6 linked regions of the Ovis aries genome follow. The protein of the gene in region 1 purifies or fractionates together with the protein of each later gene. This does not show direct contact. Links are inferred from orthologs where the notes say so. Each region holds a gene or a part of one and is shown in the gene's direction. Other genes may lie near its edges. The genes, in order: NFKBIA, NFKB2, PSMA4, RELB, RPS3 and ARRB1.

Region 1 (4,214 bases):
AAATAGATGAATGCATACCTCTCATTGACTAGGAGGTGGGGGGGGCGCAGAGAGCCTAGGTTCTATTTCTGCAGGTGAGAGGAGGGTGGTGAGCCTGGAGTGGCTACCCATATGGCAAGCATGGGTCCCATGCATGTCTCTCCCAGGCAGGAGAGCAAGGAGCCAGCAGAGGCAGGATGAAGGGCACCATGGGCTGCCTTGAGCCTCCTGCACTATGCCTGGCAGCTAATTTCTTAGCCATCCATAAGGCCTCATCTTGGATAAGGCACTACTCTACCCATTCTTCAGCCACCTTCCCCAAATGCTTCTGCAAAGTCACCCAGCAGAGGACCCAGAAGTATGCTCAGGGTCTGTTCCCTGCAGCAGCACAGTGCAGAGCAGGGAACCCGACCTCCATAATTATTTCCTTACTTCAAGGGATTTACAGCCTCTGCTACAAAGACTCATACCTTGCTTTCCTTGAAAAATACCATGGTTGTTTTCACCGTTTTCCTGCATACAGGGCAGAGTGCTTGCCTCTCCTCCAGTCAACAGGATTGATAATCCCAAGGAAATGATTTGACGGTTCCCCAGTGGCAACCCACTCCAGTGTTCTTGCCTGGAGAATCCCAGGGATGGGGCAGCCTGGTGTGCTGTTGTCTCGGGGTCACACTGAGTCGGACACAACTGAAGCGACTTAGCAGCAGCAGTAGCAGCAATCATTTAGGCTTTTAATGCCAAAAGCTTTAGAAACTTCTACCCGGGGGTCGGGCGGTGGGGGTGGGAGTGGAGAGTGGGCTGGGGCTGGCTATTCAGCCGGTGCCTACAATGCTAAGAGCCTGGTACTGGCAGGAAGGCAGAGGCAGCCACCTTCCACCGACCAGTGCGTCCTCCCCGCAGAGAGCTTTGGGGAAGTGAATCCCTACACCCGGCCAACATTTCCACTCGCGTTTTCAAAAGATTTAAAAAAAAACCGGAAAAGACCTGCAGGTCGGTAAACCCCAGTGAAGAACCAGCCTGCAGGCCTGCGTCTTTGGGATCTCAGCAGCTGACGACCCTAAATCAAATCGATCAAATCGGGAAAACCCAGGGAAAGAGAGCTTCTTGCAGAGGGCCAGGATTACTGCGTGCAGGTTGCAGGGAAGTACCCGGGGAGGGGGCCCGGTCAGGAGGACTTTCCAGCCACTCAGCGTTCATCAAAAAGTTCCCTGTACATGACCCCAGTGGCTCATCACAGGGAGTTTCTCTGATGAACTCGGGCGCGGGGTTTAGGCTTCTTTTTCCCCCTAGCAGAGGACGAGGCCAGTTCTCTTTTCTGGTCTGACTGGCTTGGAAATTCCCCGCGCCTGACCCCGCCCCGGAGAAATCCCCTGCCAGCGCTTATAGGGCGCCGCGGCGGCGCTGCCGAGCCCACAACAGTCCTAGCCCGTCGTCCCGCTCGCCCGCGACTCCGAGAGCAGCCAGAGCGCAGCGCAGCCCGCGGCCCGTGCACTGGGGAGCAGCGCCCGAGCCTTCACCGCGCCATGTTCCAGCCTGCCGAGCCCGGCCAAGATTGGGCCATGGAGGGCCCCCGGGACGCGCTCAAGAAGGAGAGGCTGCTGGACGACCGCCACGACAGCGGCCTGGACTCCATGAAGGACGAGGAGTATGAGCAGATGGTGAAGGAGCTGCGAGAGATCCGCCTCGAGCCGCAGGAGGCGCCGCGCGGCGCCGAGCCCTGGAAACAGCAGCTCACCGAGGACGGAGACTCGTAAGTGTCGCGGGCCCGGGTGGCAGGGCCGGGTGGAGGCGCTGGGCCTGCAGCCCCAGGCGCGGGGCCCGCGCAGCGGCCGCGCACCGGGGTTCGTGCACCGACCCCGAGGCTGTGCAAAGGTGCACGGCTGCCTGCGGGGCCGGGGGCCGGGGCGGGGGGGGCGGGTCGGGGGTCGGCGCTGGTTTCCGGGGCCGTGGTCCCGCGGCCCTGCGTTGCAGCCGCGCGCACCCCCCGCACGCACACCCCCGTGCGGGTCCCCTCGGCCGGAGGCGGGGCGGCGGCGGGGACGCGAAGTCCCCGCTTGCATAAGGGGGGGGCGGGAGTTTCTGCCCCGCTGGCGGGCGCCGCGCGGCCGGGAGGGGAAGTACAGGGCGTTCCGGCCGGGCGAGAGGGCGGGGCGGTCTGGCCGGCGCCCGCCGCCGAGCGCGGGGGGGGCGGGGGGCCGGAAAGTCCCTGGGCGCCTGCCAGGAACACTCAGCTCATAATAACCTCGCGGAAAACACCGCGGCCTCGGCCTCCAGAAACCCCGGCCTTGCGCAATCCCCCGCGGGCCGCGCCTCCCCGGGCCCCACGCAGTGCACTCACCAGCCCTGGGGGTTTTCCCTCTCTTCCCCTCAGGTTCCTGCACTTGGCCATCATCCATGAAGAGAAGGCCCTCACCATGGAAGTGGTCCGCCAAGTGAAGGGAGACCTGGCCTTCCTCAACTTCCAGAACAACCTGCAGCAGGTACTGCTCTCCCGCCGCGTACCTCTCTCTCCCGCTCTGACCCCGAGATAAAACCGGGTCTTGCACATGATTTCTAGATTAACAAAGGTTTGGGCATTATCTGCCCTGATTTTTTACACCTGTGTCAGCCAGTATTCTAGAACACAAAATTCCATTGATTTGGGAAGGCCTTTATGAAGCCCATCTGGGGCCTCTGGTATTTTGCTTTGCCCCTGGTATGCGCCTGGGAAAAGCAGCACCCACAACCAAGATATCTCTGGGGTTCAAGGGAACACAGATGGTGGGTTGGATCCATGGCTTATCCTTTCTGTCCCTCTTCTGTTTGTAGACGCCACTCCACTTGGCTGTGATCACTAACCAGCCAGAAATTGCTGAGGCACTTCTGGAAGCTGGCTGTGATCCTGAGCTCCGAGACTTTCGAGGAAATACCCCCCTACACCTTGCCTGTGAGCAGGGCTGCCTGGCCAGTGTGGGAGTCCTGACTCAGCCCCGGGGAACCCAGCAGCTCCACTCCATTCTGCAGGCCACCAACTACAATGGTATGTCTGGCTGTCCTGCCCATCAGAGGGCAGGTGAGGTGGACACGGGGGAGGCAGGCTGACTTAAGGAGGCCAAGCAAGGCCTAAGCTCTCAACATATGAAAGATGGAGAAAACATGTATAAAGGCCTAGTTGATGCCTTTCTAAAGTCCATTCAGAACCCAGATTCTGAGCTCTTCAAATTAAGAATGTATCCTTCAAAAGAATAGGGATATATGTATACCTATGGCTGATCCATGTTGATGTATGGCAGAAACCAATACAATATTGTAATTATCCTTCAATTGAAAATAATAAATGAAGAAAAAAAAAGAATAGGTGAAAGCTTCTGCTTGAGAAATGAGTGTTGAAACAAGTAGTTATAATACTGTCTTACTTTTGGTCTTCTAGGCCACACGTGTCTGCACTTGGCCTCTATTCATGGCTACCTGGGCATCGTGGAGCTGTTGGTGTCCTTGGGCGCTGATGTCAACGCTCAGGTCAGTGCCTCACACCTTCAAATGGGGTACATCAGGCCACCCTGGTCCTCAATACGAGGGCTTTTGCTGCAAGCAGAACTTCCAAACTCAGCCATAAGCATCTTGAATTCCTTATGGTTCCAGGAGCCCTGCAATGGCCGAACTGCCCTCCATCTGGCAGTGGACCTGCAGAATCCCGACCTGGTGTCACTCCTGTTGAAGTGTGGGGCTGATGTCAACAGAGTCACCTACCAGGGCTACTCCCCGTACCAGCTCACGTGGGGCCGCCCCAGCACCCGGATACAGCAGCAGCTGGGCCAGCTGACCCTAGAGAACCTTCAGACACTGCCAGAGAGCGAGGATGAGGAAAGCTATGACACCGAATCAGAGTTCACAGAAGATGAGGTGAGTCCCAATTAACTTGTTCATGGCTTTGCAAAAAGAAAGGAGAGAGGCCATTCTCCCTCCCCCTTCTAAGGCTCCTAGAGTTCCTCCTTATCCTGAGGGTCTCAATGTAATGAGCCTCTCAAGCTTGAGTATGTGTAAGCAGAATCCCAAGAGCATGTCTTTTTTTTTTTTTTTTTTTTGGCTCTTGTTGAAGGAGGATCCTTAAAGGAAAACTCCCTCAGCCCAGGAAATTCATTTACATTCAGTGTATAGAGAATGGGGTCCAGGAATACTTGAGTTATTTCCAGTAACAGCCCACCCCATCATCCTAGCACCCTCGGAAAAGCCCTGCGAGTTTAACATGCCTTTTT
Region 2 (4,246 bases), on another chromosome or scaffold:
CAATTCCTAAGCAAGTTTTATTGCCCCTGACTTTCAAATCTACCTAGACTATGACCATTTCTCCCACTCTTACCTACTCCTACCCAAGTCTAAAGTCTCACAATGGGGTGGGAAGACCTGCTTTGCTTTATACAAATTTAGGGTGAAGAGCTTTGTGCTAGAGTTAAGAGACTGGGTTTGATTCTCACTCTGTCCCTTGTCAAGCCATGTATTTGGTTGTGTTACTTCTCCTCTCTGAGTCTTAACTTTATCAGTTTGGGCTTCCCTGGTGTCTCAGGGGTAAAGAATCCATCTGCCAATGCAGGAAATGCAAGAGACTCAGTTTCAATCTCTGGGTTGAGAAGATCCTCTGGAGAAAGAAATGGCGATCCACTCTAGTATTCTTGCCTGGAAAATTTCATGGGCAGAGGTAGTCCTGGCAGGCTACAGTCCATGGGGTTGCAGAGTCCGAGATGACTGAGCAACTGAGTACACATACATCTTCCCATAGTATCTGGCACATTCAATCTGCAGGCAAGATGAAGAGGGAAGTGACAGGAAATTACCCAAATCAAGGGCCACAATAGTCTCCCTTTATGCAGAGCTACTGCAGGCCTGTAATTCCATAATTAAGGTCAGGGGCAAGCTGCAGGCAAGATTTGAAACAACAGCCTATGTTCTACCATGGTGAGCCTAAGGGAGGACACCTCCAAAAATGGAGATTATTCATGGCACCTCCCGAAAAGAAATTCTATCAACCAGAAATGTCCAGCCCCAGAGGTCAATACTTTGTGAAAATCTGTACTGACCTTGCTGCTGCTAGAAGTATCTAAGCAGGCAGGGACTTCCCTGTGGTCCAGTGACTAAGACTTCACACTCCCAATGCAGGGGGCCCAGATTCCATCCCTGGTCAGGGAACTAGACACAATGAAGACAGAAGATCTCAACAAAGATCTCAGCTAAGACCCAGTGCAGCCAAATATATATATATTTAAAGTAAGCAGACATTGAAAACTATATAAAAAGGTAATTTCTTACATCAAAGGCATTTGAACTAATAATTTTGGATGACTTTTCAACTCTAATATTCCAAACTTCCGTGATCGATGAGCAAGGCCTGAGTCTCCCAGATAAATACCTCCTTTCCCTTATCCTCGGAAGACCTCCTGAGCTCAGGTCTGAAAGTCTGGCCAGCTGTTAACCTGTCATTTACAAAACAAGTTTCAGGTCCAGACACTTTCTTCCCGGGAAGACAGAGGATTATGGAGTCTCCTTGAGGCTCCAGAGGGGCCACCAGATGGCACTCTAGAACCTACTGCAAGATTAACTTCCTTCCTCTTCCTCTAAGTCTTCCCGGCAGCCGGGCCCCGCTCCGGGCGGGACCAGAGGGGCTGAGGCATATCAGCTTCCCCCTGGGGTTCCCCGACTTCAGAGGTGGCCGAGCATTAGGCGCAGCATAAAACCGAGTAGCAGCAGGGGCTGCCAGCCGGCTTGGACAGGCCTGGGTGTGAGGAGACCGGAGCCAGGTGCCTCGGCTGGGGAATGGCGCTCGGTCAGCGGATCCCGCAGCGGGGTGGTCCCCAGGTTAGAGCTAGTGCCTGTCTGAGGGTCATTCTCACTCTGGCTTCCAGAGCTACACAAATATTTCTCCTCCAAGGGGCGCCCCTGAGTCACTCCCGATTGGCTGTGTAAGTCCAGGAGTTAAACTTTCAGCCAATGAAAAAGGGCATGGCGAGTGACGCACGGAAACGTCACGGGAATTCCCCCCTCCCGGGGGCGGAAAAGGGGCTTTCCCGGCTGGAGTCCTGGTGGTGGGAGAGGTGTCGCGACCCGTCCGAGGTGGGTCCGGCCGGGAGAGAATCCTGAACCGGAGCCACCGCCGCGGTGAGTGGCCGGGTTCAGACCCCTGGGTGGTGGGACACCGGCAAGGGCGGGAGGAGGGTCCTTAGCTGACCGAGCCTTAGAGCTGAAGAGCGGCATCTGCGCATTCAGAGAGCGCGCATACGAACAGGACATGCGGATACACATCGATATCCTGTACAAAGATATGGGCCGTACGTCCATCTACACGTATGCCGCAGGTGCACAGGATCGCCCATGCATTCAGACTCGCACATACATGCATACGCAAAACACACTCACCCGTGCACAGGTGCCTGGACACACACCCTCCACGCAGAAACTCAACGACAGGTTCCCCTGTGCCCTCAGATACACGCTGACATGTGTCCACACTAATAAGCTTAAGGACTCTCACCTGTACACGCATGTCCACGCCATGCACACAATGCGCAAGCACATGGGCTGAAACATATTAGACACCTGTACAAGTGTTACATACGGCCATGGGACAGGGGCGGGGGCGGGGCACCCAAAGCAGGTGCGGTGTGGGAATCAACGACTGTTGAGATTTTCGGGAAGAGGGAATGGAGGTGCCCATCCCAACACCCCCTCCGGCCCCTTGGCCTCAGAGACTGCTTCTCGGGACAGAACCCCGGGGCCCTCTACTCGGAAGAGCCCCCACCTACAGGCCTTCGGGGTGGAGGCCTTCCTACAGCAGGAATGTCCCCCCAAAACCCCCCGGGGTGAATCAGCCGTGGCCTCCCTGAGGGTAGAAAATCCCAAGGTTGCTCCAGGAGGGGGAAGGCGGGGGGGCCGGTCCCCGGACTAGGAGCTTCCTCCGGCCTTGAAAGACCCCCAGTCCCCGGCGCCGGCCTGGAGAGAGGAGGGGGGTGCCCCCCCAACCCCGCGGGGCCTTCCCTGGGTTTGATTGCCCCTCTGCTTGCAGAGACGCTGCAGGCGCTCTCCGGCCAGCGAAGAGACGACCTCGCGCCCCTCCCGCCCGGGGGCGTGGTCAGTGGCGTCATTTCCAGGCCCGCCCCCTGGCCCCGCCTCCCCCTGGTATTTTCGGGACTTTCCTAAGCTGTTCTAACTTTCCTGCCCCTTCCCCGGCCTGGCCCAGCCCAACTCCGGATCTCGCCCTCCACCGGATCCTGCCCGCCACACCCGGACGGGTAGCTGGAGGAGATCGGACCCTCCCCTAAATTTGGGCCCCTCTCTCCCCCCAACTCCCGTCCTGATCTATCTCTCCCTACACCCGCCACTCCTCCCCACCTAAGGCGGGCGCCTGAAACTCTGGGAAACAGAACCCGGCCGAAGCCACCGGACAGAGCCGGGCCTAGCCCAGAGTCATGGACAGTTGCTACGACCCAGTGAGTCACGCCGCCTGGCCTCAAAGCCTGCCGGCTGCCCCCCTGTGCCTGTCTGCTTGTCTGCCTGCCTGTCCTAGTCCCTTCTACTCCCTTGCACCTCTAATGTCCTCAGATTATTTCACCCTGCCTGTAAGTCAGTCTCTGCAAACTGGTTTCAGTAGGAGCTTTTTTATGGGCCTGCCTAGGAGAGGGGGTGATTGCTAATGGTTTAGAGAGCTGAGAGGTGGAGGGTTCTGGGGGTGGCTCAGAATCAGCTGCCATCTCAGTCTGTCTCCATACCAGGGTCTGGATGGCATCATTGAATATGATGATTTCAAATTCAACCCGTCCATTGTGGAGCCCAAGGAGCCAGCCCCAGAGACAGGTTAATAAGTCCCCTGACCTGCCCTTGTCTTGGAGGGAGCGGGAGGGAGGAGGAGGGAGGAGCATGTGGTGTGTGTGCCCTCTGTCTTGGGAATGGGCTCAGAGGTCCTGGCTCAGCAAGGCTCCTCTGTCCCCAGCTGATGGTCCCTACCTGGTGATTGTGGAACAGCCTAAGCAGGTGAGCAAGTAGAAGGGATGGCTTCAATTTTGGGGGCAAGTGGGACAGTTGTAGCTGGGTGGCCACGGGCAGGGTAACTGATCACAGACCCACTTCGGGTTGGGATTGTTAGCAGCTGCTGATCACAGTGGCCTGGTGGTGATTCAGGATACATACGTCCAGTCATTATGGTCACTGCTGGCTGGGGATGTGGCTGGTGAGGGGGGATGTTTCTCCTGGTCACAATGTCACTCTGCCCTGGCACCTTCAGCGAGGCTTCCGATTTCGATATGGCTGTGAAGGCCCTTCCCATGGAGGACTGCCAGGTGCCTCTAGCGAGAAGGGCCGGAAGACTTATCCCACGGTCAAGGTGAGCCAGGGTGGTGCTGGAGGGTGGGCTAGTGGACAGTGTGTCCATGGGCATTACTGACAGCCCTCACCCTTCACAGATCTGTAACTACGAGGGACCTGCCAAGATTGAGGTGGACCTGGTAACACACAGTGACCCACCTCGTGCCCATGCTCACAGTCTGGT
Region 3 (2,402 bases), about 15 Mb from region 1:
CTTGGGTTAAATCTAGGTTCCACCAATACAAGCTGTGACTTCCATACCTGTTGTTTAACTTCTCTGGGCCTCCAGTAGAGCCTACTGGAGTGATCGTGGCAATTCAGTGACATAAAATGAATGAGTGAAATAAGCTAGCACAGTGTTAGGAATATAGGAGGACCTCGAGGTATTGTTTAGAATGGTTACAAGGAATTAGTTTTAATTATACTGAATCTTACCAAAGACCACGCCTCCTGGAAGTCTTGGAAAAGGTTAGACAGGGCCTGTACACTAGTGATATTTCTGATATACTTGGGTGTTCAGGACTGCAGCTAACAGAGAGCTGGATTTGCTGATTGGAGACCCTCCCTTCTGTGGTACACCATGTGAATGTTGGCTATAGGGCCTTATTGATACACGCACCCCAGAAAGTGTCATCCCTCCACAGAGTCACTGTTGGGCCCTCTCAAGCAGCCTGCAGGCTTGATTGGGCACAGTGCCAGAGGAGTCTAGGCTGTAGGAGGTCCAGGGCAGCCTTCAGGAAACGGAGGGTAGATAAAGAAAATGCACCCCTCCCAGCGAGCCTGGCCCTGGGCTTCCTTGTCAGGCTCAGAAATATCCTGCCCTTTGGGTCCCTTCACCTTCACCCCCATCAAGTGAGGCCTTTGAAAGAGTACTTATACCCAAGAGTGTGAAGTAGTCTGTCTTCCTGTCTGGCAAAACATTTTTCTTCCTTGTGGTTGAATCTTGTTGGGATTTACCCTAGCTTCCTAGTGTTTATTCTCTTGCCCTGTTCACAGGGTGGTGATGGTAAATACATCTGTTGTGAAGATCAAGGGTGCATTTGTTTATCTTATGTATTGAATGACGTCAAATTGAAAGTTTCCTACAAAGATAAAACTCACGTAGTTTTTGCCTGAAGGGTGTAGCAACTGTGAGTAAGCATGGTGAATTTCTAATAGAATTTAGTGTATTTTAAAACTTGTAAAATACCTCTGGCAAACATCCTCCCTAATTACAGATAAATGTGTTTCTCTTCTGCAAGGGATATGGCCTGTAGTGTGGCAGGCATAACTTCTGATGCTAATGTTCTCACCAATGAACTGAGGCTCATTGCGCAAAGGTATGGTCATAAATAATTGATATGTAAAGTTAGTTTTGATGTTTCTATGAAGAATGCATTTTTTTAAAGTTTAAAGGCATTAGAAACCTATTAACTGAAAATTACAGTTTGTTTATTTCTTTAACCAAACTTGTAAAATATTTGGTTGGCCAAAAAGATCATTCATCTTATGGGAAACCTGAACGAACTTTTTGGCCAACCCAGTATTGTTTACAGTAAGGTTATTAAGCGTTGCCATACCCTCTACCCTCCCCCTTCAGATCACAACTATTATGTTGTCCCCATGGCAGAGATTTTTTTAAAAGGGTATTTTGCTTAGAGTGTGTAGAGTGTTTTAGAGAAAACTATTAATATGCCAGTTTCTTTATCCTAGGTATTTATTACAGTATCAGGAGCCAATTCCTTGTGAGCAGTTGGTCACAGCACTGTGTGATATCAAACAAGCTTATACACAGTTTGGAGGTACTGAAACCTTTGGAAATTTCATTCCCAAAAGTTAAAACGTTTTATGAGTAATAACCTTTTTGAAACAGTAAAAAGAAATTGAAAATGAAATAAGTAGACACTTCATACATTCCAGCTTCATGAACTAACTGGCTTCCACTATGTAGACTATCAAACATTTTATTAATAGATTACTGAAAGGCCGAAATAACATTCTAAAATCAGAAAACAAATGACTTTTTACGTAATATTAATGGTATTCAGCACTGGTCGTCTGTGTATTCCCTCTCCTCACTGCGTCCAAATCCTAGAAACAAAAGTGGAATTTCTGATGGAGCTTATCTGTGGTGGCCAGAACATGAGCAGTTTATGAATGCTTAACTTCACAGAAGAGGGGTTAGCCACATTCACTGCGCTCAACTAACCATAGTGATGCTAAATTTAGAGTGTTGATACGTGTGACTTTGTTTTCTCTGTTAAAGGAAAACGTCCTTTCGGTGTTTCATTGCTTTACATTGGCTGGGATAAGCACTATGGCTTCCAGCTCTATCAGAGTGATCCTAGTGGAAATTACGGAGGTTGGAAAGCCACATGCATTGGAAATAATAGTGCTGTGAGTATTTTTGTGTTGCTGTAAAAATCTAGCAAAAGGTCTAATAACTGCCATAATTATGAAGTAGTGATGAGTGTAAACAACATTTTAAGGTAGCTGCAACAAACTTAACATGATATGAAAATCTCTGTGATTTCTGTTGGTGACAAAGTCACAGGTAGTACTAATACTGCTAGGATTTATAACCTACAGTAATAATGAAAGGAAGTACCAGTTTCCAGTTAGAAGTTGTGAAAATAA
Region 4 (3,500 bases), on another chromosome or scaffold:
GGATGTGGGATCCTGAGCCACTGACAAACTTGGCATCCTTCCAGCTTGATCACTGGACGGTGATGCTCCTTTCTGAGATGAAGCTTCGGCAGAGTAGCTGTTATTCTTGTTATTAAATGGAGCAAGATGGAGGCAGGGGTGCCTGTGACCTGGTCTTACCTTGATCCAGGTGAGAGGTGATCAAGGCGTGGGTGCAGGAGCTGTTTCGGAGGCCAGTGGACATGAGGGTGCAGGAGAAGGAGAAACCAGGCCCACCCTCAGGGCCTTAAGAACTGGGCACGCTGGGGGTCTATTTGCAAGAAGGAAGGCAGGGGCTTTTTTGTGTGTTCAGAGCTGAAGCCCCTACTCTGTGTATGTGAAACCCACAAGAAATCTGTCTTGAAGAAACGAATGGACGGGAAGTGGAGAGGGTGGCAAAAGTCAGGGGATTAAACAAGCCTTTTAACTATCAGCGTCACCCCCAGTTTTGGCTTCTCCCCCAGAGATCATCGACGAGTACATCAAGGAGAATGGCTTCGGCTTGGAGGGGGCGCAGCCTGGCCCGGGCGAGGGGCTGCCACGCCTGGTATCTCGCGGGGCGGCCTCCCTGAGCACCGTCACCCTGGGCCCCGCGGCGCCCCCGCCCCCGGCCACGCCGCCGCCCTGGAACTGCACCCTGGGCCGGCTGGTGCCCCCGGCCCCGGGCGCCGGGCCGCGGCCGCACCTGGTTATCACCGAGCAGCCCAAGCAGCGCGGCATGCGCTTCCGCTATGAGTGCGAGGGCCGCTCGGCCGGCAGCATCCTTGGAGAGAGCAGCACCGAAGCCAGCAAGACGCTGCCCGCCATCGAGGTAGGCAGAGGGGGCTGGGCACCGGGAATAGGGGGAGGCGGGGGGTGGGGTGGGGACTGCGATTCTCTTGCCCCCAGGAGTCACACACGCGAATTTCTTTATTCGTGCATTTTCATCATGATGATGATGATGATGATTGGTTTTTGAATTTCATCTATTTATTTATTTTTGGCTGCACTGGGTCTTCCTTGCTGTGGGCTTTCCCTAGTTGCCGGGCGTGGGGGCTACTCTCTAGCTGTGGTGCGGGCTTCTCATTGCGGTGGCCTCTTGTTGCAGAGCAGGGGCTCTAGGCCCTCGGACTCAGTTGCTCCACAGCATGTGGAATCTTTCCGGACCAGAGATTGAACCCCTGTCCCCTGCACTGGCAGGCAGATTCTTAGCCACTGCGCCAAGGGAGAGGTCCCTACAGTGGTTATTATTGTTGTTGCTACTGCCAGGGTTGATGATACCACTGTTGGGTGTGTGTCATGTCCAACTCTGCAACCCCATGGACTGTAGCCCGCCAGGCTCCTCTGTCCATGGAATTCTCCAGGCAAGAATACTGGAGTGGGTTGCCATTTCCTTCTCCAGATACCACTGTTACTTGGCATTAAATTTAAAGAGTTTTCAAAGAAAGACTTTCTTCCTGGGAATATGACAGGATCGATCACAGTCATTATTGCTGTAAAGGCTGTGTAGCCTCCTGGTTCACGGTAAGAATCAGAGTGCTTGAGTTCGAATCCTGCTTCCACCAGCTGCTAGCTCTGCTGCCTCGGGCAGGTTACTCAGTCCCTCTGTGCCTTCTCTACAAAATGTGGTAACAGGGACTTCTCTGGTGGTCCAGGGGTTAGGGCTCTGCTTTCATACCTGAGGGCCTGAGGCTCAATCCCTCGTTGGGGAACTAGGATTCTGCAAACCGTGTGGCATGGGGAAAAAAAAGTAAAATAAGATCCCCAAACTTCTGGAAGCGGGATTGCCCATCAAAGGCAACTTGACAGCCATTGCCAAGTTGCCCTCCTCGGGGGTTGCACCCATGACTGTCTCTCCCAGTGATGTCTGAGAGGCCCGGTGCCTCATGCCTCTCCAATACGGAGCCTTGTTGTATTTCTGGATCTTTGCCCAAGTGTCTGTGGAGCCTGAATTGTGTCCTCACCATCCCACTAGGGCCGAATCCAGGCCCAGCTGCTCCCTGACCTCCAGCTTTCTCCCTGGTGACCAGCTCTCAGTCCCCTCCCAGATTTCCCTCCCCGCTTCACTGAGGCAGCCAGAGAGGTGCTGGTAAATTACACATCTGCTCCTCTCCCCTGCTTAGAATCCTCCTTTGTCTCCGGAGTGCCCTCAGGAGGAGGCCCAAGATCCTCCTGGGGAGGATCCTCCCCAGGGCCTCTGAAGACATTTGCTTATTTCTTTAAAAAAAAAAAGATTTATCTATTTATTTAACTGTTCTGGGTGTTAGTTGCAGCACGTGGGATCTTCCATCTTAGTTGTGGCATGTCGGATCTAGTTTCTTGACCAGGGATGGAACCCAGGCCTCCTGCATTGGGAGCATGGAATCTTAGTCCCCGGACCACCAGGGAAGGCCCTCTAAGACCTTGCCTGGTCCAGCTTCTGCTGCCCACTCCCACCCAGCCCCCTCACTCCCCACCATCCAGCCATCAGGCCTTCGCTACTGCTGTTCCTCCTGCCTGAAGTGTTTTCCACTTGCAGCCTTTAGTTCAGTTCAGTTCAGTCGCTCAGTAGTGTCTGACTCCTTGCAACCCCATGGACTGCAGCATGCCAGGCCTCCCTGTCCATCACTAACTCATGGAGTTTACTCAAACTCGTGTCCATTGAGTTGGTGATGCCATCCAACCATCTCATCTTCTGTCGTCCCCTTCTCCTCCCGCCTTCAATCTTTCCCAGCATCAGGGTCTTTTCCAGTGAGTCAGTTCTTCACATTAGGTGGCCAAAGTATTGGAGTTTCAGCTTTAGCATCAGTCCTTCCAGTGAATATTCAGGATTGATTTCCTTTAGGATGGACTGGTTGGATCTCCTTGCAATCCAAGGGACTCTTAAGAATCTTCTCCAACACCACAGTTCAAAAGCATTCTTTATAGTCCAGTTCTTACATCCATACATGACTACCCAGAAAAACCATAGCTTTGACTAGACGGACCTTTGTTGGCAAAGTAATGTCTCCGTTTTTTAATATGCTGTCTAGGTTGGTCATAACTTTCCTTCCAAGGAGCAAGCGTCTTTTAATTTCATGGCTACAGTCCCCATCTGCAGTGATTTAGGAGCCCAAAAAAATAGTCTCTCACTGTTTCCCCATCTATTTGCCATGAAGTGATGGGACCAGGTGCCATGATCTTAGTCTTCTGAATGTTGAGTTTTAAGCTAACTTTTTCACTCTCCTCTTTCACTTTGATCAAGAGGCTTAGTTCTTCACTTTTTGCCATAAGAGTGGTGTCATCTGCGTATCTGAGGTTATTGATATTTCTCCTGGCAATCTTGATTCCAGCTTGTGCTTCATCCAGTCCAGCGTTTCTCATGATGTACTCTGCATATAAATTAAATAAGCAGGGTGACAATATACAGCCTTGACATACTCCTTTCCCGATCTGGAACCAGTCTGTTGTTCCATGTCCAGTTCTAACTTCTTGACCTGCATACAGATTTCTCAGGAGGCAGGTCAGGTGGTCTGGTATTCCCA
Region 5 (4,041 bases), on another chromosome or scaffold:
AGTAACTTTGAAATGTATCAAAAGATGCACTGTTGGGTGGATAGAGGCAAGGATAAATATCTGATAAAGCAAATACAGAAAAAAATGTTAATTGCAGCACCTAAGGGATGCATATATAGGTGTACACTGTATAGTTCTTCCAACTTTTCTGTATGTTTGAAATTTTTTGTAATAAAATCTGCGAGGGGAGATTTTTTTTAATTGAAAAAGAATTGCGAGCCATTATCGTAACTTCTGTTACAAGCTGTAACATACTTTATGAACGTGAGGTAGAGGTAATGAATTAATAATATAAAGTCCTAAAACAGTCCTTAGAATATTTAATACATATTATATATATATTATCAGTTTGCAACAGAGGAAGTGGACACAAATTGGAAGAGATAGGTGCCTCAGTGAATTTCTCTGAGGGCTTTCAGCCCAAAAGTGCTTTTACTTTTTTTCATTAAAGAATAAAGTTAGCAGATAAGTGTGTGTTTATACTTGGTTTTAAACTGATGAGAACTGGGCTCTAATTAAACTGATGAGAACTGGACTCTAAACTTCCCTGAATTTTTAAAGCTCTGATTGAGATATTGGCTCCTCTGTCTATGGGATTCTCCAGGCAAGAAAACTGGAGTGGGTTGCCATGCCCTCCTCCAGTGGATCTTCCTGACCTGGAGATCGACCCCTCATCCCTATGATCGACCCCTCACCACTCTCTCTCCTCCATTTGCAGGCGGGTTCTTTACCGCTAGTGCCACCTGGAAAGCCCAGGTTTCTGGATATTGTTGTTGTTCAGTCGCTCAGTTGTGTCCAACTCTTTGCGACCCCATGGGCTGCAGCACGCCGGGTTTCCCTGTCCATCGCCATCTCCCGGAGCTTGCTCAAACTCATGTCCATTGAGTCGGTGATGCCATCCAACTGTCTCATCCTTTGTGTCCTGCCCTTCTCCTCCTGACTTTAGTCTTTCTGAAGGCAGTATCAGGGTCTTTTCCAATGAGTCAGCTCTTTGCATCAGATGGCCAAAGTATTGGAGCTTCAGCTTCAGCATCAGTCCTTCCAATGAATACTGAGGATTGATTTCCTTTCTTCCCCAACACCTCACAGTTCAAAAGCATCAACCCTTGGACCGCGCTTTTCTCTTTCCTTTTACCAAAGTGAAAACTACACTTCCCATGAGCGCTCACAGGCGTCGACGTCGCGCAGTTCTTTGTCGTCGCACAGCGCCCTTTATACGCACTTCCGCCCGCTTGCCACTTCCTTTCCTTTCGGCGGCTCGCGTCGGCAAGATGGCCGTGCAAATTTCCAAAAAGAGGAAGGTGAGATCCCGGGGCCCGGTTGCAGGGAAGTGGCGTTTCGCGGGTCAGGAGCCTTTCTGGGTGCTATTGCGAGACTTATAGCTCTTCGCTATGCCCGGGGCAGCGGCCGGACTGTGTCGCTTTCCCGTGGGCTGCGGATGGCGGTGGATTGAGCGCAGGCCCGTGGCTGCTGAGAACGGTATGGCTGGGATAGGAGAGAAGGATTTCTGCCGGTTCCGGGCGGAGAGCAGAGATGAGCACTGAGGGCTCCTCCTGCCGTGGAGGAGCGCTTGTGAGCCTTTCTTAGTCAGTAGTTAGTAAAGTTACTAAATGTGATGTTTTGAATGCATGAGCCTTTCCCTCATCGAATGGTAGCTTTGAGAAAGGGAGGTAGCAGTGTTCGCTTGCCTTCTTCCTAGGCTTGTCTGGGTGCAGGCTTCTGACCCCAAGGACCTCAGTTTGGAAGGTTACTGACAATTTCTTGTTCTATCTTGGGGTCAAGGAAACGTTCTGGGGAAATAGAGGGAAGGGACCTGGGGGAAACGGTTTGATTATTTAAAACCCTTCAATGAAGAGGAGATGACGAGTCTGACTGGAGGTGTTCTCTTTGTCCAGGTGACCCCTACCCTGTGCCGCGTTCTGTGGCACAGTTTTAAGGGCCTGGGTCAAAGTTAACTTCCAAAAGATGACTTAGAGGCATTTGTCTGAGAAGGGTTGCTATGTTTTCTCTGGAACAAGGCAAAATAATTAATGATGGGTCGTTGGTTGGAGGTGTTGAATCTTGATTAGGGTTGCATTGACTGGGCTAGAAACCTGAGCCCATGTCCAGATCCTCATTTTCATTTTGCTTTTGGTTAGTTTGTCGCTGATGGCATCTTCAAAGCTGAACTGAACGAGTTTCTCACTCGGGAGCTGGCCGAAGATGGGTACTCTGGAGTTGAGGTCCGAGTTACACCAACCAGGACAGAGATCATCATCTTGGCCACCAGGTGAAAAATTCATTTTTCTGGCCATCACCTGTAATTGTTGTCTGCACTAAGGTGATTTCTTCTGTAAACGTAGCAGAACAACAGTTGAGTCATCGTGAATGAGTTTTTAAGCTGCATTTAAAAAAAAGATAATCTCTTAGTTCTTGTCATCCAAAATTTATGCTTTCTTGTGTCAGATGAATTAGATTTTTACTACCACACGTGTGCAAGGTTTAAAATTACATCTGTAATGTTATGAGAGCTGTGAATTGTCACTCTTCATTTTCCCCAGGACACAGAATGTACTTGGTGAGAAGGGCCGGCGGATCCGGGAATTGACTGCTGTGGTTCAGAAGAGATTCGGCTTCCCTGAAGGCAGTGTAGAGGTGAGTGATCCTGGCTTGTGCCAGAGGCTACTCTGGAGCTAGAAATGGCTCTTCAGGATGGTGCTGTGCTGTGCTTTGTCGCTCAGTCGTGTCCAACTCTTTGTGACCCCCATGGCCCCAAGGCTTCTCTGTCCATGGGGAGTCTTCCAGGCAAGAATTCTGGAGCTGGTTGCCATGCCCTCCTCCAGGGGATCTTCCCAACCAAGCGATTGAACCCAGGTCTCCCCACATTGCAGGCGGATTCTTTACCATCTGAGCCACCAGGGAAGCCCTCTTTAGGATGGTACTTCTGAAAACTCATATTATCACCCTGAAAGCTTACTTGTGATCAGTGAGTATTACAAATGGATTGGTATTTTGTTGAAGGTCTTTTAATAAGCAGTTGGCAGCAGTTTATACCTATCTTGGAATTAGTAATGATACATAGGAGAGGTTGGCTGCCCATTGATCTCCATGATTTGGCTGTGGAAAGAGGTGGGGGTGGGAGAAAAATGAGGAATGGTTCAGTTCAGTCTGCGTCCCTGAGTGTTTGTTAGATGTGGGCATTAGAAGTGCTTTAATACTTGGGTAGTACAGTGAAGGGCTTCCCAGGTGGCTTACTGGTAAGGAATCTGCGTGCCAATGTAGGAGACGCGGGTTCAGTCCCTGAGTCAGGAAGATCTGGAGGAGGGCATGGTAACCTTCACCAGTATTCTTGCCTGGAGAAGAAGAGGACCCTGGTGGGCTGTAGCCAATGGGGTTGCACACTCATCCACTAAATGAGAACAAATAGAGTGATACATAGAGGGGTGTCTGCTTGAATCATGAATGTGCTGATTTTTAGTTGAAAACGGTGGTGATGAGTGTAACAAGTTTAAGAATGTGCCTTGTTTTCTTTAAAGCTTTATGCTGAAAAGGTAGCCACAAGAGGACTGTGTGCCATTGCCCAGGCAGAGTCTCTGCGTTACAAGCTCCTAGGAGGCCTTGCTGTGCGGAGGTAAGAGTCCTTATGAATTGTGTCCTTTCGTGAATCAGTATATCAGCTATTTTGTTAATTTAGTAAGTGGACTCTGGACAGGCTCAGCTAGTCTCTGAGGGCTTTAACAATAAGACATTGTCAATCCATGTTGCAGCCTAGTTAGAAAGACTAGTAAAGACAAGTGTTTAAAAAAGCGAGTGGTGTTAGTAGAGCACGGTGGGAGTATGAATGTAGGATGGGGGTGGGGAATGGTTTGGGTTCATGTTGAAGTCATTCACATACATTGTGTGGTGGTAACTCTGGGGATTCAAGAGAGAAGACTCATTGCTGAGAAGAGAGCTTAAAATCTAGTCAGGTATGCCCAGTAGGTATTTATAGATAGTGATGTGAGGAACAGAGGACATGAGGTGGTTAGATTGGCCCCGGAGCTGGGCTTGCTGATAAGATTT
Region 6 (3,500 bases), on another chromosome or scaffold:
TACCTTAGCTTAGTTGTCCCGGGGTGAGGACCTGTGCCCACCTGCCCCCTCACTCACTCGCCAGTAACCCGTGGGCGGTCATCTGCCCTGTGTTTAGTTCCAGAGCACGAGACGCCAGTAGATACCAATCTCATAGAACTTGACACCAAGTAAGCAGAACCCTGCCTGCAGACATGGGCGGGGTGGGCCTTGGGAGGTGGGCGGGGCTGCCTGGTTATATGCATTTATGCTAATTAACCCCGAGGAGCAGTGGTCTAACCCATCTGCTGAGAGCTGCCTCTGCTCGCCTCTTCAGCAACCCGCTTGCCTGCATGTGACTTGAAGGACCCTCGGTGCCTGTTCCTCTTCCTCCTGCCTTGGTGGGGTCTGTCTTCCTCCCTCGTCCTTGCACGTCCGTCAGTCCGTCAGTCCATTCGTCCATCCACAGCACCTGCTCGGCTGTCACAGGGCTGGTTTGTGGCCCTGGGCTGGGACCCTCCTACTTGGCTGGTGTCCAGCCAGTGGAATCAGGCTGTGGGGTGGGGAAGGTTCTGGGGATCTTCTTGTTTCTGACTCGTGAGGACCAGTATGGATGGCCCTGTGGTCAAAGGCTGTCACCTCACAGGACAGTGGCCAGAGGGGAGGACCTGGGCAAACATGAACCACCTCCAGGTCCAAGCAGCTTTCTCGCTCCAGCTCCAAATCTATGCTTCCTTTGTCCTCTAGGAGATGTGTCGGGTCTTAAGTCAGCCCATGGAGGATACCCCGTGCAGTTGGCTGAATTCTGTGGGGCTGGGGCCTGGAGAGTGGGCCCATGTGGACATGTTTTATTAGTAGAAGGGAGCTCACTGTTCTTAGAGGCAGCCCCTCTGGAACCCCTCTCAGGCACCCTCTTTCTCCACTCATATTTTTTCTGCTCCCCACCCTTATTGGGCTTTGCCTAGCCCCCACCCCAGCCCCCACAGACCCTGTGTATCCAATATCCCTCAGGGTAGAATGTGAGCTGACATTTCCTTGGAGAAAGGGCCTTTGGGGTTTTCTCAGAAAACAGGAATGCTTCCTGAGGGTAGTTCTTGGGTGGGGGCGTGTTCTTGGGGGACTCAGAATATGCTGTGAAACTGCTGTCGGCCTGGCCTCTTTGTGGAAATAAGTTCCTCCTCTGGCCCTAACCCTGCCTCACTCCCCGCCCCCACCCACAATTTGATGTGTGCCTGAACCCCAGCTTCTCAAGAGCTGGGTCGATTTCCAGCCCTTAGCAAACTCAGGCCTCCCTCTGGTATTTCTGCAACTGGCTGGTCCCACTGTCATTGATGGGCATCCAGATGTGCTGGCCTGGCAGGCCTTTCTATCCAAGACCAGTCCCAGAGGCCGGCCTCTGGGTCCTGCTGGGCTGTGCAGGCCCTCCGACCCCTCTGAGTAAACCTCCTCTCCCTGCCCTGCAAACACGCCTGTTTTCCTTGTCTTTCCCACCAGCGATGACGACATTGTGTTTGAGGACTTTGCCCGCCAGAGACTAAAAGGCATGAAGGATGACAAGGAGGAAGAGGAGGATGGTACCGGCTCTCCGCGGCTCAACGACAGATAGACTGGAGCCGCCCTCCCTCCGGGCAGCTCCAGGTCCACTCTCATGCGCTAGGATGCTTGTTCGTCTTCTTCCTGTCCTGACTCCCCCTCCCCTTTGTTCTTCCAGTTTCTACCAGGGGGCCCAGCGGTCTTCCAGGTCACGATGGGAACCCCTGGCCTCAGGATTGGCCCCCATCACCATGCCAACTGGGCCACAGGCAACACCCTCACCCTCTCACCGCATCACTTCTCCATCCCTCCTCTTTTCCTGTTGACCCCTAGACAGGCCAGCACGGCTCTGGCCTTAGAATTTGACTTGGGATGGGGAGCAGAAAGGGGAAGATGGGGCACAAGGGCTTGGCGGGGTGGGGATGGAGGCTCAAGACACGTGAGAGGATGAGGCCACTGTCCCGGGTGATGAATACAGTTCTGGCAGCTAAAACATGACCGCTTTGAAGGCCACCCTCCTCTGGTTGGGAGGGGACAGGCCCATGGATAGATTTTCCACACAGTTTTGCTCGAAGTTCGGACCCACCAAACACCTGTCTTCTTCCTCCCTCGTCCCTGCCCCCGTCCCTCTGTGACTGACAGTGACCTTGGTGAAGGTTTGTAGACCCCAGGAATGGAGCAAAGCAGTTGGGCTGACTTTCTTACCTGCAGTTACCTAGTCTAAGGCAAGTCGTGTGAAGTAGCCCGAGTCTATGTCAGTATCATCAGGATGTAATATCCTAGCTGCCTGTATCTTGCCTGTGTGTCATCCGCAGATATGCACAGAGTGCGACAGAGAGAAGGGAGGGGCCTTCGGAAAGCACCAAGGTCTTGAGGAGGTGTCCTGAAGGGTGACTATGAGATGGGGGTGGGGTGAGAAGATGAGAGTCTGCCCAGCTCCCTTCCTTAAGAGGGATCAGCGATCTGGTGGGAAGCAAGACTGAAGGGCCAGAACGATTGAGGCCACCAATGTCTTCCTGCCCTTGCAGGTCTCCAGGGCTGGACTGGAAGAGAGCCCCTGAGACCACCGTGCCCACAGTCAAAGGGGGTCCTTCCATAGAAGGTAGCAAGGTCCACTGAGTTGTCCTTACCTAAAAGGAAGAGGGACTCTTTTGTTTCCTTGGGGAGCTGATGACCACCCCCCGCCAATACACACACACTCACACACACACACACACACAGTGATTCCCACTGTCATGGGTGTACAGTACCCATGGGCTGATGTTGGTGTGATTAGGACATGGGGCATACTTCCAGGGCAACGGGGCAGGCAGACGATGAGGCAGAAAGTGTTAAAAGTTAACTGTTTTTCTCTGACCTTTGATGCTCACTGCTGTGTGACTTTGGGCAAGTTCCTTTCCGTCTCTGGGCCTCAGTACTTCACCTAGAAAACCAAGGGGTTCGAGCAGATGATCACAAGGGGCCCTCCCAGCTCTGCCTCCAAGAATTTGTGAGCATTAGAGTTTCTGGTCTGGTGGGTGGAGCCAGAACCACTGATTCTGGTCTGTCTGCCACCAGTGAGGATCACTGAACCCGAGGGGTGGTGGGGCAATAGACAGCACCTAGCACCACCACCCTACACCCACTCCAGGCCGAAGAAGGGCCCTTCTAAGGTCCCTAGACTGGGCCAGGGTGAAGGGTTGCCTGATGTCAAGCTGTGGCTGTAGTTAGCATGAGCCGCTTGGCCCTAGGGACCAAGTATTACAGAAGGTATTGTATTTGCTTGTATTTGCTGAGGCGTGGCAGGGGGAGGGGAGGAGAGCTTGCGATAGACACGGTACTACTTCACACCCTCTTTGGATGTCCTGAAGTTTGCCTCATATCCAAGCAGATGTATTGATTAGCAGGGCAAGGGGATCTCTTCCTCCTTTCTGTCTGTGTCCCATACTTGTGAAAAGGCAGATGGCCAAGTTTTATTATATAAGCTGGATCTCAGCTCTTCAGTTCAGCCCCTCCTGGGATGGACTTTG

The links.
Region 2: the proteins of NFKBIA (region 1) and NFKB2 purify together in Homo sapiens (affinity purification with mass spectrometry; 6 studies listed by BioGRID and IntAct, counting the BioPlex papers as one, with this or other methods). This does not show direct contact. The link is inferred for Ovis aries from reciprocal best matches to the Homo sapiens genes NFKBIA and NFKB2.
Region 3: the proteins of NFKBIA (region 1) and PSMA4 purify together in Homo sapiens (affinity purification with western blotting; 3 studies listed by BioGRID and IntAct, with this or other methods). This does not show direct contact. The link is inferred for Ovis aries from reciprocal best matches to the Homo sapiens genes NFKBIA and PSMA4.
Region 4: the proteins of NFKBIA (region 1) and RELB purify together in Homo sapiens (affinity purification with mass spectrometry; 4 studies listed by BioGRID and IntAct, counting the BioPlex papers as one, with this or other methods). This does not show direct contact. The link is inferred for Ovis aries from reciprocal best matches to the Homo sapiens genes NFKBIA and RELB.
Region 5: the proteins of NFKBIA (region 1) and RPS3 purify together in Homo sapiens (affinity purification with western blotting; 4 studies listed by BioGRID and IntAct, with this or other methods). This does not show direct contact. The link is inferred for Ovis aries from reciprocal best matches to the Homo sapiens genes NFKBIA and RPS3.
Region 6: the proteins of NFKBIA (region 1) and ARRB1 purify together in Homo sapiens (affinity purification with western blotting; 3 studies listed by BioGRID and IntAct, with this or other methods). This does not show direct contact. The link is inferred for Ovis aries from reciprocal best matches to the Homo sapiens genes NFKBIA and ARRB1.

The regions. Positions count from the first base shown.
Region 1 is NC_056071.1:43,394,548-43,398,761, reverse strand, and holds the start of NFKBIA (NF-kappa-B inhibitor alpha), read left to right. Parts: upstream 1-1,414; 5' UTR 1,415-1,502; coding exon 1,503-1,729; intron 1,730-2,350; coding exon 2,351-2,459; intron 2,460-2,787; coding exon 2,788-2,998; intron 2,999-3,388; coding exon 3,389-3,477; intron 3,478-3,600; coding exon 3,601-3,861; intron 3,862-4,214. UniProt on the Homo sapiens protein: Inhibits the activity of dimeric NF-kappa-B/REL complexes by trapping REL (RELA/p65 and NFKB1/p50) dimers in the cytoplasm by masking their nuclear localization signals.
Region 2 is NC_056075.1:22,788,547-22,792,792, forward strand, and holds the start of NFKB2 (nuclear factor NF-kappa-B p100 subunit), read left to right. Parts: upstream 1-1,446; 5' UTR 1,447-1,563; exon of another isoform or gene 1,564-2,880; intron 2,881-2,909; exon of another isoform or gene 2,910-3,098; 5' UTR 3,099-3,170; coding exon 3,171-3,191; intron 3,192-3,473; coding exon 3,474-3,555; intron 3,556-3,691; coding exon 3,692-3,732; intron 3,733-3,982; coding exon 3,983-4,081; intron 4,082-4,160; coding exon 4,161-4,246. UniProt on the Homo sapiens protein: NF-kappa-B is a pleiotropic transcription factor present in almost all cell types and is the endpoint of a series of signal transduction events that are initiated by a vast array of stimuli related to many biological processes such as inflammation, immunity, differentiation, cell growth, tumorigenesis and apoptosis.
Region 3 is NC_056071.1:28,737,446-28,739,847, forward strand, and holds part of PSMA4 (proteasome subunit alpha type-4), read left to right. Parts: intron 1-1,027; coding exon 1,028-1,105; intron 1,106-1,478; coding exon 1,479-1,567; intron 1,568-2,031; coding exon 2,032-2,162; intron 2,163-2,402. UniProt on the Homo sapiens protein: Component of the 20S core proteasome complex involved in the proteolytic degradation of most intracellular proteins. This complex plays numerous essential roles within the cell by associating with different regulatory particles.
Region 4 is NC_056067.1:52,491,192-52,494,691, forward strand, and holds part of RELB (transcription factor RelB), read left to right. Parts: intron 1-482; coding exon 483-829; intron 830-3,500.
Region 5 is NC_056068.1:53,317,636-53,321,676, forward strand, and holds the start of RPS3 (small ribosomal subunit protein uS3), read left to right. Parts: upstream 1-1,241; 5' UTR 1,242-1,271; coding exon 1,272-1,301; intron 1,302-1,843; exon of another isoform or gene 1,844-1,993; intron 1,994-2,138; coding exon 2,139-2,269; intron 2,270-2,540; coding exon 2,541-2,634; intron 2,635-3,515; coding exon 3,516-3,610; intron 3,611-4,041. UniProt on the Homo sapiens protein: Component of the small ribosomal subunit. The ribosome is a large ribonucleoprotein complex responsible for the synthesis of proteins in the cell. Has endonuclease activity and plays a role in repair of damaged DNA.
Region 6 is NC_056068.1:53,205,181-53,208,680, reverse strand, and holds part of ARRB1 (beta-arrestin-1), read left to right. Parts: intron 1-97; coding exon 98-149; intron 150-1,452; coding exon 1,453-1,564; 3' UTR 1,565-3,500. UniProt on the Homo sapiens protein: Functions in regulating agonist-mediated G-protein coupled receptor (GPCR) signaling by mediating both receptor desensitization and resensitization processes.